Linked DNA regions of Caenorhabditis elegans. The protein of the gene in region 3 purifies or fractionates together with the protein of the main gene of each other region. This does not show direct contact. Each region holds a gene or a part of one and is shown on either strand. Other genes may lie near its edges.

Region 1 (6,171 bases), on a different chromosome or scaffold from region 3:
TTCTTTTAGTTTTTGGTTTTATCCATTTTTTTTCAAAAATGATTAGCATTTTGCTTGATTGTAATCACGTGCCCATTTTGTTTGACATCTGGAAGACAACGAAAAATGTGGTGCTAAATTTTCGGCGTCTCAAGCATTTTGTAGTGCATTTCTTTAAAAGAATATATAAATTTCAATATGTTAAACTAAAAATAGGCTTTTATTACTTGCGATTTAAATAAACTTCGAATGTCGCAAGAGTAATTGAATTTTCAGTAATATGACTACGAGCCATACTCCTGAACCAAAAGAAGTAGAAGACTATCAGGAAGACGGAGAAATACTGGACGATGATGATGATGTACCAACGGAAATTCCAAATATAACTTCTGAATGTTAGTTTCAAGTTTGATATCAATTTAAACAAAAACAATTTTCAGTTTTGGTGAATTATCCCTCATCGGAAGACGAAAAATCTCCTGAAGACGTTATCAAAGCCTACAAGAGGAAAATTGAAAATCAAAAGAATGTGGAAAACGAGGAATCTGTAATCCCCGCTATTGATCCAAAATTATGTAAAGTTTGTTTGAAAAACGAGCACAAGTACAAATGCCCAAGATGTGAAATGCGGACATGTTCACTGGATTGTTCAAAGAAGCACAAAGCGGATAATAATGTAAAGTTGTTCACGTTTGAAAAAAGCAATTTTATTTGACTATTCAGTGTGATGGAGTACGGCAAGCGTTTACCAAGGTAGATAAATTGTCTCAATATGATCCACAAAAGTCAATTGATGATCAGAAATTCATGCACCTGATGAAAGAGAAAGTTGGGTTAGGAGCTGAACCAGTTGGTGGTGTCGGTAATGATGTGAATAGTTCGGATGGAGAAGAGAAACCAGTTGATCCGAATGCACTTCGATATACAGTAAGTAGTAGTATCTGTCAGCTTCATAAATATCGAAATTTAGACCAACTCTCCCACCGAGAGATATCTTCTCAACGCGGCTCGATTCCGTCATATTTGGTTAGGATTTGTTGGCGAACAAGAAAATGAGAGCAGACACGAGCAACATTCTGATACTATTTTTTGGACTTTGAAACTATCATTCAAAAAACAAACCGCGGACGGAGGTATAGAAGTATTCGAAAAGATAGTTAACAATATTCCTGAAACAATTCGAGTAGCAACAGTTTTGAAGCAATTCTTCAAACCCCGCCAATATGGATGCATTGTCTCTGAAAGCGACCTCGACGTTGAGAAGCTCAAGCCGTTTATTGATCGCGGAATTGACGATGTCAACGTTTATATGGAAGTTCACGCAAATCCAGAACGATACTACGGAATTATTACTGATAGCACCATTCTTGAAATGACAAGAACTCGAGTCGTTGCAGATTTTCCAAAATTAGTAATTACTATGAAGGACGAATTTATTGAAAGTATGCAGTTATTGTCTATGGAAGAACTTGCTGAGATTCAAACCAAATACGGAGGTGTAGGAAATCAAAGATTCGGAGGCGGCGGTAGAGGACGTGGTGGTAGAGGCTTTCATCGCGGAGGCGCCAATCGAGGTGGAGGAGGCTCGAATCATAATATCTTCAGAGTTAGTGGTTCAATATTTATTCAGATTCAAAATAAATGATTTCAGAAAAGACCAGGACAAGATGGAGGTCAAGACGGTGGTTTCAAGCGTGGACGCGGCGGAAATTTCCACGGAGGAAGCCGAAGAGGTGGATATCAGAACCGCACCCATCAGAATATCGATACCTTCGACCCATTCGAGCCCTTCTCCGGACCAAATCGACTTCCTATGGAGTACAATTGATTTGTTTTTTTTGTTGAAATATTTGGTACATTTTGTTGAATTTTATTCGTTTTTATCCATTTTTTGTACAACGTTGTTACACTTGTTATTTCTACATTTTTCAATTTTTTTTTTATAAAACATGAATGTTAGAGTTAATGGTCGAAATTCAAATTTTCATCGCGTACCGATCGCTTCTTTTTATTTTAAAACAGATCACAAACTTCTTTTTCATAGTATTATTGCTTGAAGAAACATGGATCCAAATCAACCATCAACTTCCGATTTCTTAATAGAGGAAGAAGAAGAGTACGGTAATATTTTAGAACAAGGTTCTGATGTTCCTGAAGTAGAAGAATACGATTTTGATGATGATGATGATACAAATGGAATTATTGCTGGAATTGATACAAAACCTCATCTTACTGGATTACACAATGGGTCCGGGAATAGAAAAAGAGTAGAAGAGCCAGCTGAAGCCATTGATGATGAAGAATTAGTGAACGCTATCAATAGATTCATGAGAAATGAATATGACTATGATCAATTTATGCGGGTTACTGGAGGACAAACTCTCAAGGAAGAGTTAGGAGCAAAGCAAAAAAGATCGGCAAGAAACAATGTGGTCGACGAAGTCGAAGAAATTGATACTGCAGATGATGATGAAGAAGAGGACGATGAAGATGTAGAGTTAATGGAAGACGTTGAAGAAGTGTCAACTTCTCAACATGCTGGAAGTTCATACTCTTTTCAGTCTGCAGGACCTTCTGATCGCTACGACGCTCTTCCCGAAGAAGCTCGATATATTATGACACAGGTTTGCATTGTTAGACTATCGATATTACTAGAATGAGAAAGGTTACAGATGATGTCTGGTAAAGATGAAGGACAGGTAAACCATTCCGATGAAATGGAAGTTGAATATGAAGTAGAAACTGAAGAAAGAGAACCTCCTCCTCTGAAACAAGTAAAAATAGAAGGCCAGAAAGCAGATTCTACAAGTACAGAAACTCCAGCCACAAATGCAGAACCTCGAGATCGAGGAAAATTGAAAAGATTGGATGCTATGTTGGGTCAGGCAAACGTGTTAGCTGCTCGTGGAAATATCACCGATGCCATGGAAATTCTTCGAGAAGTAATTAAACAGGATCATAAACATGCGATTGCTTATCAACAGATAGCCACTGTATATGAACAGTTAGGAGATCATCAAAAAGCTCTTCAATTTGGTTTACTGGCATCGCATCTAGATCCGAAGACTCCACCAGATGACTGGGTACATTGGGGAGATGAAGCTGAAAAATTCGGAATGATTGAAGAAGCTGCCGTTTGTTACGATAGAGCTATTCATCTCAATAATGAGAATTGGAAGTTTTACGAAAAAAGAATTGAAATGCTTGATCGGCTGAACCTACGACCTCTCGCAATGCGTACTCGTCTACAAGCTGCTCAATTGATCAACAATGAAATTTTACAAGTGGATTTTGAGTGGTTTCATGATTTGATTCGCAAAGTCGCTCAGTACTACATTACAATGAATGATGAAGAGAAAGCAATTCAATCTCTCGAAGCATTTGTTCTCCGGAGTAAAGAATTCGAACGAGATGCAGAACCACAACATGAAACTCTCATTGGAATGTATTTAGCAAAGAGCAAATTCCGACAAGCTGGAATGTCAATTCTGGCAATGTGCAATGGTGTCAAAGCAATTCGTTCTACAACAAAGGATCCCGCATGCCTTGTAAGTTGTTCATAAAGTCTATCACTGTGTTGTTTATAATAATTTATAAAATTATTTCAGATAACTTACACAAATGGAACATATGAATGTTTGCCTTTTCCACCTGTCGGAAGCGATATCGATTATGATATTGATGTCAATCTGTTTCCAGTCAGTATGCACTGCCATCTCGTCATTTGTCTCTTCAGTTTGGATGAAGTCGAACAGTCTTCCGTGTTGGAACATAAATTATTGAAAAGAAATTTCAATGTAGAAGAAGATGAAGGATTTATTCTAGATGTGCCAAGGCTTTACAAGAACAGAGGACATCCGAAACTTGCAATGGTGAGAAATATTATGTAATAACAAAATACAGTTTTTTTTAGAACTTCCTGGATCAATTGACCAAAAATCCTTGTTACAACAACGAAGCATCTGGTGCTTACTGGTATCTGAAAGGAAGTCTTGAAATGATGCAGAAGCATGATGATCTAGCAATGGAAGCATTCAATAAAGTTCTGATACTACAACCGGATCATATTGATAATCGTATCCATTTGTCAACTCTCCAGCAAAAATCTGGGTTTTTCGAAAAAGCCCTCGAAACCTTGGAAAATTATGACCTGGAAAACTGCTCATCGATGCCAGATGAACGTCTTCTTGCTCGTCGAGCAGACGTTTTATTCGAAGCAGGAGATTCTGAGCAGTTTGTAAGGATCACGAGAATGATGCTGGCTCCCCACTTCTACAAAGTCTATATTTCTCCAGATATTTTGAAGAAACGACGGGTTACCAAAGGAAAAACGACTAGTAAGTGAAATAACATTTTAATTGTCTTCAATACGAATTTCCAGCACCTGCTCTCAGTAATACTTTGAAAACTTGTGCTTTTGGAGTTGTTAAACATACAAATTGGGAACGCCTTGTCAAAAGGCTGGGAGCAACTGTAGAAGCCAATGGGACTTTTCAAACATCGCTTTCGGGAACAGATGTAATCATTATTCGAGCATACATTTGATTGTGTAAATTTTTAATTTTCAGATACATGACTACTGTTTGAAGTTAATCGAATGTTTAAATAAAATGGAGAAACATCAAGACGCACTCATTGTCTGTTGTTATGCATTTTTACATCCAACTCTTTTCAAAGCCGACAAGTGAGCTAATTTGTTCAAAATTTTCCACACATTACAAAATTTTCAGAATCTCCACTTTCCAGAATTTAGTATATTTTTGTGCAATCAAAGCAAGATGTTGGAATTTGGCATTTGAATATGTTAGATTCTTTCACACTTTTTCTTTGGTAACAATTTGTATCTTATTGGACGCATTTAAGTAATTTAAATTTCCAGGCAGTCAGCGATCCTCAAAATGGCTCATTCTCTGACGTTCTCCAAAAACGCCTTTTCAATGCAATGAACTACGTATTCGTCAACTCTCAGAATGTCTGCTACCATCGATTTATCATGAGAGCACTCGTCAAAGCTAAAGATAATCATGCTCTTCAAGCGATTTCAGGCAATAATTCACTTATCACGGGAACATACCGACATGCAATGGGAGAGTATCTTCGAGTATGGGTAGCCAATAAACGAAATCCACTCATCTGTATGCTGCTTGCTCTCACTTTCACTCATATGTCTTGTAAGAAGGATCTCTCAAGTAGACACCTCATCGGAATCCGAGGAATTGCTTTTATGAAGAAGTATTCAAAAGCACGGGCTTGCCAACAAGAAGTCTTTTATAACATTGCCAGAATGTTCCATCAAATGTCGATTCTCCCTCTCGCCAAACATTTTTATGATAAAGTATTGGAGGTTGATCCGCCGTGTGTGTTTGATTTTGATGAAGATGGCAATGAGGTTATTATTCCAGCAATGAAGTAAGACAATTTTAAAAATAAATTAGAAATTTCTGTCTGTAGAAATACTATTAAAATTTCAGATATGACCTGAGAAAGATGGCTGCTCACAACCTGGCTTTAATCTACCGAACATCAGGAAACAATTTCGCCGCTAGGAAAATTTATGAAAAATATCTTGTTGTTTGATTTTTTGTTGAAGAATAATTTTTGTTAATCTATCCAATGTCTGACATTGTGTGGTCTAATTTATAAGTAGCAATCCCATCGTACTTTTTTAAACAATTACTTATAAATTTTCTTTTTTATTATTTTTATTTCATTATATTTGGTTCTGAGAATATAGTTCAAGCTTCCATTCAATATCTGCTGATACTGATGCCGTATAAAAGGAAAATGTTTAATATTTACAGTATGTTCATTCTTTCTCTACTGCACGATACGGTGGCTATTCAGCCTCATCAATTGAGCTCTGATCAGCAAATTGTTATCAAAAAACGGCTCAATGAACGTCTCGCCAACAAAATTATTCCGGATCTTGGTCTCTGTATTTGTGTCTATGATATAAATGAAATTGGTGATTCGTACATTTTACCCGGCGAAGGAGATTGTAGAGCGAGAGTTAAGGTAATAAATCAATGTACAGTCGTATTTGAGAAATGAAATAAATCTTCAGTTCCGTATGATCGTTTTTCGGCCATTTGTCGATGAAGTTATTGAGGCCAAAGTGATTGGTTCATCACGACAAGGTCTTTGTCTAACAATTCAATTCTTCGAAGACATTTTTGTACCGGCGGAAAAGCT
Region 2 (5,262 bases), 3.2 Mb from region 3:
TGAATAATTTTACAACTAAATTATTTTTATCGTTCTTCAATTTCTTTTAATGACAAATTTTCAGAAATTTACTTTGCAGTGCACATAAACAGTTTTTCCTTTCGAGGCGACACTCTCAATAAATTCCACCGCTTCGTTGATCTCTGCTCTTGGCGCAGTTCCCGTAAAATCTTTCATCGGCACAGCAAAAAACTCGACACCTTCATTCTTCCAATCAACTTCTCTCATTGCATTCATCGCAGCTTTTAACTCGAATTCTTCAGTACAACATACGACTCCACCAACATTTTCCTTCTGAATGAGCTCATCCTTCATTGATCGGAATGGCATTGCTCCAAGAATAAGAGTCTCATCAACACGATTATACCAGGCCCATCGATTCGGTTGAACATAATTTCTGAATAAGTTATATCCCAATGATGGATAGAAGATCAAACTTGTAAGCATCTGGAAAATTTTTAAATTTTCTAGAGTTGTTTTATTATATTTCTGAAAGTTCCGAAAGATTAAATGGTTTAATTACCAACATTTTTAAAATCTTACTTCCCATCGAGAACCAGATTAGATTTATTCAGTGTAAAAAAAGAAAATCAAACGAATTAAATTGTTAAAAATAAATAGAAATGGAAAGAAAATTGGGAAAAGATCGGAAATTGAGGAAAAAGGTCAAATGAGGAAAAAGAAGATAAAACAACAAGAATAAATAAATAATAACAGTTCATCGACAGAGATGCATTTTCTACTATCAATCTACTCATTTTTCTTATTCATCCGTCGTTTGTAGGCATCCCTGCTGCCAAGAGATCCTATTACAGCTCCCAAATGACTATAATCTTCCTCATCATCTGAATCTCCGCGCTTTCGTTTCAAATCGGACAGAGCTGATGAACGAACGACCTGAAAATTATATTTGAGGAATTAGCTTTTTTTTTTGAAAACTAACTGCTGATGGATCTGACGTTGTTGCTAACAATTGATACATATCTTTTTTGACGTCTTGTTCCAACATTGGGCCAAGCATATTGTCCTCTGACTTTGGATCTGAAATATTAAAAATTAATACAAGTAACTAACTTAAAAAAAAAATTACATGAAACGTTTGGAAGCTGCATATTATTGATCATATTGCACAACAATTCCACATTGATAAATGGTCCAATAAAACAAGTTGGAGGAGGAAGAAGAGACATGAGATGTGCAACTGATTGTGGTGGTGGAAATACGCCTCCAGGTACCGGATGAAACGATGCCGTACAATTGACTCGTGGTTTGAATGGAATCATTTGTGATATGTCGGGTCTTGGGAAACCGTATCGTGCCACGTCTGCGTGTCCACCAGCTCCACCCATAATTGCACTGGCTGCTTGTGGTCCATGAGTTGGAACATTCTTTGAACCAACGAATGATGGTCCGGCGATGCTTTCCGTACCCTTCTGAAAATGAATTTGTTTCTTTTTGAAAACTTTCAGTTAGTAATACTTTGAATAATCAATAAAAAGCTATATATAATTGTAAAATTTCACTTACCAGTGCATTATATCCAATAAGTTTCAGTTGCTCTCCACTGCACGGCATTAGATCCATAAACTTATATCTATCAATCACAAGCATAGAATGGTTCATTGTCTGATCTTTTTGAGCTTCCTCGTATGCCGTTTTTCGCCTCTTTTCAACCTTGAGAATAGAAGCAAGATCACCAACACAGCTTTCAAAGTCCAAAAATCGATCCCAAATCCGGCTGGAAAATATTACTATTAAATTATCAATTAATTCGATGAAAAAACTCACATGGACTTGTCGGCGGGGAGCTTTGACGATGTCAAAATCCTTTCGAAAACTACTCTCGTGTTGTTATCTTCATTCAGATTAGACAAAAAATCGGCGTAGGCCAGACCGAATTCTGGCTCATTTTCATATTTCTTCAATCCTAATTTGAATACTCGGATGGCAACTTCTTTATCCTTCATACAATTGTATTCCAACAATGCAGCAGCTACAAATACTTGATATCCTGTTCGTTTATCCTCTCGTGCCCTTTTGAAAACCAGTCGAGCGTTATTAGGTCCCTCAGACCTTCTGATAAATCTCATTAATTGCACATAAGTTAATGTTGGATTGATATGTTCAATTCCTAACAATCTATCATAAATGTTCTTGACTGCTTCAAATTGTTTGTGCTCTTCTTGGAAATCGGCGTATGCAAAATATAGAAGCTTCGATTCTTTCATCAATCCAGTAATTGCTCGCTCATAGAGACCTGAATAAACTTCAAGATTAAGTAATAAATATGTTTTAGGCAACTCACTAATTGTTTCCAATTTCAACACTTGTGCCATCTTAACATCTCCCTTCTCATCCAATGTATGACTAGCTTCTTGTAAGAACATTGCTGCCTCATACCAAATATCTGGGTAGTAACCCAAGCAGAGAAGTGATTGTTCGTAAGTATACACAACTCTCCTCGCATGTTGCCCGTATTCTTCGGTTTGTAAAGGATTCGTTTTCTCCCATGCAATCAAATTTTTCCATAACTCAACTTGTTTGAATTCTGTGGCGGTTCCTTTAGGTGGCACTGAAACCGCTTGCCGATTCAATCCTCGTGTCATTTGTTGTAAATCTTTTTCAACTCTTCGAGCATTCTGATATTCTTTTCCTCGTTCAGCGATCAGTTTTTCTGCTAATGTAATATTGATCGCCTTCTCGTAAGTGCAATAGTCATTCCAAATCAATTCTAGATTGTGCATGGGAGTTGCCAAGGCTTTCTGATAAATTTTTCGAACTGCTGTGATTCGCTGATTTTCTGCATACTGTCCAACTGCCGGCCTGCAAGTTAATAAAATAATCAAATAACGTTTGTATAAAACTTACACTTTCTTCAAAAATGCTATGTATTCTGTGAAGATTGAGTAAGCCTGGACATCCATTCCAACTTTTTCTAGTGCGAAATCGTAAGCTTTAGCCATTTCTTCACGATATTGATCCCTCTGTCCTTTCGTTTCGAATACGTAATGAATATAGCATTTCCACAGATCTATGTTGAGAACAGACACAAGACATCTACTGAATAACTGAAAAAGAAAACTATTAAATTTATCAAATACCGGGATAAATTACCTTCTCCACATTTTCGAAATTTTTGGAACGAAGCTGAAAACTTTAATCATTTTTATTTTTCTAATTTCTATTTTGTAATACCTCGTGCTCGATGTAAGCTTTCCAGTACCGTCCGGAGTTAGGAAATTGTTTTACAAGACTTTCGTAAAAATCTCGTTCTTGGTCAATCGGTCGTGACTGAAAAATGAACGGAATAGACGTCGATTCAATTTGTTGTCAAATGTCTACCTGATGTTCTCGGAGCAGTAAATTCCACGCGTCTACGTCGAATGGATTTGTTTCAATCCGACGCTCTGGGTTACGCATGCTCAACCCAGACATCTTCTGAAAATAAATAGCAATACTATCTTGTTCAAATCAAGGATAATTTCATAGAATGTGAAATTGTGCAAACACAGTGCATCAAATTTGACGCGCAATGCAGACCGAAAGTGGAAAATGAGGAAACTCGCCAAAACATCAGATACATTTTCTCAAATGGATAGAAGACCCTTTAAATAGCTTTTTCTGTACTATTACTCTTGTTTACTTATTACTGGAATTTCCAGATAGCATTAAAATATTTTCTTTGAAAATGAATCGAAGCCAAAACAAATGGAAAAGAATCAACAATTTATTTGTAATTAATAACAATTTAGTTGACGGTCTCGTCAGTGTGCTTTCCCTTGAGGATTCCAGTGACGCGGGAACGTCCGGCAGCCTTGCGCTCAACGAGGGCACGACGATCCTTATCGAGCTTCAGCTTGGTGATAGCGACCTGAACATAATTTGGGTTAAAGAACGAACTCGGTCACTTCAAAATATAATAAACTTTTCCTAGTCCGAATGCAACATTAAGAATCATGGAACTCACAAACCTGACAGTTGTGATGAGTCGATGTGCACCGGAACTAGTTTATACAAACCTCACCTTCGAAGGGTGGATTCCGATGTGCACAGTGGATCCGTTAGCCTTCTCGCGGGTGATCTTGTCGATGTGGATAACGAACTTCTTACGGTAGCATCTGAGGACACGTCCAGTGTTTCCCTTATGGCGTCCGCGCATAACGACGACCTCATCATCGGTTCTGAAATCAAAAATTGTTTTAAACTTATGGCTAACAAAGCGAAAATATGTTTCAGCGTCATTGCAAAAAGAGTAACATTCATTTCTCCATATTGTCCAAACCGTACGTGAAAATTTCAACGTACGGGACTACTTAATGGAAACAGTAAAGTTTTTCTATTTAAAAAAACCAACCTGATTGGAATAGCACGGATTCCGTGCTTGGTGCGGAGCTCCTTGGTGAGTGGGGCAGACATGATGCGTCTGCGCTCGTGGGATGGAGCGTTGAAGTGGGCCTTGCGGCTCTTTCCGGAATCGCTGGAGACGAACGGATTGACCTTCATTATTACCTGAAAAAATAAATATTATATTATGTAACAATAATAAAATTACGGTGGTAGAAAGTATAATTCAAATTCGAGAATAAAAAATATTCTCGAATTACAAGGAGAGCACACATGCAGGTTGAAAACTCATTAATGTTAGAGACAATTACATGCTTGAAAATAAAAAATACCGACAAAATTCCTAAAAAAATTTAGGCCAGTGAGAAAAACGTCGAGGAAAATTTAGTTTGAGGCAGCCGACTACGATTTGAGGGGAGATCGCTGCGAGACCCACCGCAGGGGAAACGGCATGCGCCTTTAATATAAGTTTAAATTTTGCAAGGAATTTATTGCGCTTTGAGGATTTTCGAATATTTATTCAAGGAAACATACTTTAATAATGAAGCCAGATATCAAAGATCGTGAATACATGTATCGGCTGATTATTGGGTAAGTTATCTCGCGCTAAACAAGCAAAACTAAAAAAGTTCATACTTTCAAAAACTTATTTCAGGCAGCTTTTCTACGATGGTCATCAACAAATTGCCGTCAACCTCGCAAATACTTTGGGATGTTCTGCTCCAGCTCCGCCGCCTTCAGATAAATTGTTCAGACTGGTCACAATTGCAAAGCAATTTGTAGAGGATCCAGATTACAAAGCCGAAGAAAAATCCTCGCCGGTAAGTTTCATTTTTTACGATTTGGTCACAAAAACGTCACAAAATGCCTGAAACTATCTAATAATTTTGTATTTTAAAGATGCAATTCGAACCCGTC
Region 3 (4,065 bases):
GGAACCATTCAAATGTCCTTTTGATAGAAAAATCATTGAGATGGACGGCCGGAATGTGGAGAGCTTTCCGAAAAATTATACTATTCTTCAAATGTGATATATTGTTATTCATAAAAATTTTAGTTGATAGGCCTTTTTGGTAATGCCTTTTAAAAATTGTTTTTAGAAAACTGTACAAAATGAAGTGAATTTTAATATTATTTATTAATTGGACAAATAAAAAAATAAAGAAATAGTTAAACCAGAAAGTATTACAATCGAATTGAGAAAATAATAAGACAAGTTTAAACTAACTTTTTTGCAAATTTTGTGTTCTTTCAGAATTTAAAAACGGTATTCCAAAAACTTCCATAACCGCCGAGTTCAAGCATAAAAAGTGAATTTTCAGTCATTTTTTTAGAGCGCATTTTAGGATTGAATGGAATAGGCCACTTACATGCAAATTAGTAGATTTTTTTTCATAATTGCAACATATGTTCAAATTGAAACAGCAACTATTTGTTCATGTTTATCTGTAAGTTTAGAATACAATTTCTTAAAATTAGCAGCAGAATCGATATCAACCTCGACGCTGCAAAGTTATCGTGATTATCCAATCGATTGAACGCTGCAACTATAATGAACGGAAGATGTCATTGACATATGTCATTATGCTCTCTGTCATTTCTATCTTCTGTCACCACACCGGACGGTCGTCTGGTTTTCTTGCTCTACTTTTTTTTGTTTTCTTCTGAACTAATTTTAATTAAAGTTAATACTCTATAATTTTTTTAATTTAATCACCCAAATTACTCATTTCAGGGTTACTCATTCTATAAATCTATACACACAAAGCTTTTTCAAATTAATTTATAGAACGAAATTAGAATGAGTTTACTCTTACACATTGTTTGTCTCATTCTAGAATCAAACGCTGTGTGCATATTCCAATTTTTTCCAAAACTTCCAAAAAAATTTAAACAATATTTTTCGATTTTAATCATTTTTCAACGATTTTTTTTTCAATAAGTTGATAACTTGAAAAAGGTGATTGCTACCTGTAGATTTTTTAAAAAATTATTCAAATTAGCATAATCGATATCTATCCCGACGCTGCGCATTAATCAATCGATTGAACGCTGCCACTAATAAGTGGAGATGGTCCGTTATATCATTGTGCTCTCTGTCATTTGTATCTTCTGTTTTCACGACGGATGGTCGTCTAGTTATTATGCTCTCCTTTTTTGTTTTCTCCTGTTTAATCTTCACTGTTCTTCCAAACTCATTTAAACTTAAATTATCAAAGTTGTTCGTTTCCTCTTAACCTTTGCACCATTCTTCTCGTAAATTCCAGACTAACCGAATGTTTTTGAAAAGCAATTTTTAATTTTTGTAAACATATTCTGCAATTTTTAAATTCTGTAATTTCCTTTCAAATTTTTAAAATTAATATTGTATTTACCTTTTAATTTTCATTCCAAATTGTGTACCCACATAACTTTTATTTCAAACTTCATTTTTATTGCAAGAATAATTTACTGTCAAAAATGTAGATTTTTCTTTAGAACAAAATTCAACTTGCATATTCCAAAAATGATTATTTTTAATTGAAACGAAATTTTTTTTAGCAATTCTTTCATTTAGTGGGGCAATTTACAAGAATTTTTTACCAGTTCATTTTAAATATTTCCTTTTTGTTTTTTTTGTGCAATTCCAAAATCCAAAATTTGTGTTTCCAATTGAAATTAAGATTTTCAAACGATTTCATTTACTCTTCGCCTTTATTGCCCTTCTTTACCCGTTCTCCTATCCTCTTACTAACATTAGCATTTTTTAGAAACTTTACGATCTCTCATTTACCCTTTGTAAAATGACATCTGTAAATACCCTCTCTGTGAACATCACTGTCCCAATCACTCGCACATTTGGAGTTTCTCAACCAATTTCCACTGCTCTCCCAAATGCGAAAGACTTGGAGCTGACGTCATCACTTCAAAAAACACTCAATCAATACAACAGTTATGAGCCACAGGAGGAGACATCACAACGAGTCAAAGTACTGCAGAAGCTCAATGGATGTGTCAAGCAATGGATTCAAAAGATCACAGAAGCAAGATACCCAAAGGATCAATTGTTCAATGCCGGTGGACAGTTAATGGCTTTTGGTTCGTATCGCCTCGGAGTTCATTCAAGTGGAGCTGACATCGACACACTCGTACTGGCGCCACGACATGCCACACGTGCTGACTTCTTCTCCAGTTTCAAGCAAATGCTCGCTAAGGATCCAGAAGTCACCAATCTGTGCGCTGTGGAAAACGCTTTCGTTCCAATCATGACAATGAAGTACTCTGGTATTGAAATCGACTTTCTTTTTGCTCGACTTGCCTTGAAGGAAGTACCTGAAGATTTGGATATCCTAGATGACGCTCTTCTGAAGAATCTGGATCAAGAGAGTGTGAGAAGCCTGAATGGATGCCGAGTTGCTGAGAATTTGTTGAAGCTAGTCCCAAACCAGGAAAACTTCTGCATCACTCTTCGTGCCATCAAATTGTGGGCTAAAAACCATGGAATCTACTCGAATTCAATGGGTTTCTTTGGAGGAATCACATGGGCAATTCTGGTTGCTCGTGCTTGTCAGCTTTATCCAAACGCGAGTCCATCCAAATTGATTCAGAAAGTGTTCTTCATTTTCTCCACATGGAAATGGCCGGCTCCAGTGCTTCTTGATTTCATCAGCAGTGATCGGATGGATTTGGCTCAGCTCAATCAATTAGTTTGGGATCCTAGAAGAAATCAATCTGATCGATACCATTTGATGCCAATTGTGACTCCTGCATTCCCACAGCAAAATTCAACTCACAATGTGTCACGGTCATCAATGAAAGTGATCCAGGAAGAAATGAAGGATGCATTGATCACATGCGACAATATTCAGAATGGAAGTTGCAATTGGATGGATCTTCTAGAAGAAATCAACTTCTTCAGTCGGTACAAGCACTTCATTTCCTTGTCAATGACAGCTGAAACTGAAAAGGATGAGTTGGCGTTTGGAGGATTCTTCGAGTCAAGGATCAGACAACTTGTGCTCATTTTGGAGAAGAATCAGGGAATCAAGCTTGCTCATATCAATCCAAAGAAGTTCAAAGCTGCTAAGGATCCAAAGAAATCAGTTTGGTTCATTGGTTTGCAATTTGATGAGAATGTGAAGAATCTGGATTTGACAAAGGACATTCAGCAGTTCAAGAGAAACATCGATTATCAAGCAAAGTCTGTGAAAGATATTGAAGCGAATTGTGCAGTGGAAACCGATTTTTCCTATGTGAAGAGATCAGATTTGGCTCAGACGATTTCTGTGAAAGATCTGAAACAAGGAAAAATGTACAAGAAGCCCGAGAGCAAGGATCCAGTCAGCAAGAAGCGGAAAGTATCAGAAAATGCTCCAAGTGTTCCAAAAAAGCAGAAATTGGATGTTTCCGAGAAGTCTTCAGTGGAATCGTTACTCAAAAACTTGAAGAAGAAGAGCTTAATTGTTTGAATTTCTCCTATTTTTTGTTTCTATTTATTTCTATTCATTTGTATTATTTTCTGGTGTTCTTAATTTCTGGTGTTAACAATTTCTATTATATTATGTTCCTAATTTCAATAATCTTTAATTTAATTTTTTAACTTGTGCTATTATCTTCTTGATTCGGTTGTAATACTTTCTGGTTTAACTATTTCTTTATTTCAATTTTTTAAAATTAATAAATATTATTAAAACTCAATTCAATGTGTTGGAAACTTAACAAATAATTGAATTAAGACGGAAACCAATTTTTTTGGTCAATTTTTCGAAAGAATTTGATTATTGAAACTTTAGTTTTAATGGAAATAATTGTTATTCACCATGTGCTCAAAAATATATCCAAAAATGAACTTAATCCCCGTGAATTTTCAACAAAAACATTTAGTTTTCAATGGATTTTGTTCAAAAATTTCATTCATGAAATTTTTCTAGCCCTTGTGATTTGGTTTTCATGAATGTTACATGAAAGCGTTTTCTATTTCAAAGCTACGGGGCATTTTTCAATTTAAATTTTATCCGAC

The links.
Region 1: the proteins of pap-3 (region 3) and tftc-3 fractionate together in Caenorhabditis elegans (co-fractionation; one large-scale study listed by BioGRID). This does not show direct contact.
Region 2: the proteins of pap-3 (region 3) and suf-1 fractionate together in Caenorhabditis elegans (co-fractionation; one large-scale study listed by BioGRID). This does not show direct contact.

What each region holds. Positions count from the first base shown.
Region 1 is NC_003283.11:10,206,212-10,212,382, reverse strand, and holds tftc-3 (TPR_REGION domain-containing protein), read left to right. Parts: upstream 1-2,038; 5' UTR 2,039-2,042; coding exon 2,043-2,603; intron 2,604-2,651; coding exon 2,652-3,527; intron 3,528-3,587; coding exon 3,588-3,851; intron 3,852-3,892; coding exon 3,893-4,316; intron 4,317-4,360; coding exon 4,361-4,497; intron 4,498-4,547; coding exon 4,548-4,663; intron 4,664-4,709; coding exon 4,710-4,809; intron 4,810-4,858; coding exon 4,859-5,388; intron 5,389-5,450; coding exon 5,451-5,556; 3' UTR 5,557-5,667; downstream 5,668-6,171. Other genes in the region: zhit-3 (Box C/D snoRNA protein 1), read left to right, coding at 260-374, 420-655, 703-906, 950-1,585, 1,631-1,807; rpc-25 (DNA-directed RNA polymerase III subunit RPC8), read left to right, coding at 5,782-5,994, 6,044-6,171.
Region 2 is NC_003280.10:8,602,034-8,607,295, reverse strand, and holds suf-1 (Suppressor of forked domain-containing protein), read right to left. Parts: upstream 3,451-5,262; 5' UTR 3,436-3,450; coding exon 3,343-3,435; intron 3,292-3,342; coding exon 3,196-3,291; intron 3,148-3,195; coding exon 3,115-3,147; intron 3,069-3,114; coding exon 2,869-3,068; intron 2,824-2,868; coding exon 2,306-2,823; intron 2,258-2,305; coding exon 1,789-2,257; intron 1,739-1,788; coding exon 1,528-1,738; intron 1,434-1,527; coding exon 1,091-1,433; intron 1,042-1,090; coding exon 944-1,041; intron 898-943; coding exon 751-897; 3' UTR 552-750; downstream 1-551. Other genes in the region: F28C6.8 (Phosphatidylglycerophosphatase and protein-tyrosine phosphatase 1), read right to left, coding at 73-447; rpl-26 (Large ribosomal subunit protein uL24), read right to left, coding at 3,749-3,871, 4,025-4,181, 4,355-4,503; cpf-1 (Cleavage stimulation factor 50 kDa subunit), read left to right, coding at 4,886-4,935, 5,000-5,165, 5,245-5,262.
Region 3 is NC_003280.10:11,814,360-11,818,424, reverse strand, and holds pap-3 (Poly(A) polymerase), read left to right. Parts: upstream 1-1,849; coding exon 1,850-3,514; downstream 3,515-4,065. Other genes in the region: Y6D1A.2 (RING-type domain-containing protein), read left to right, coding at 1-97.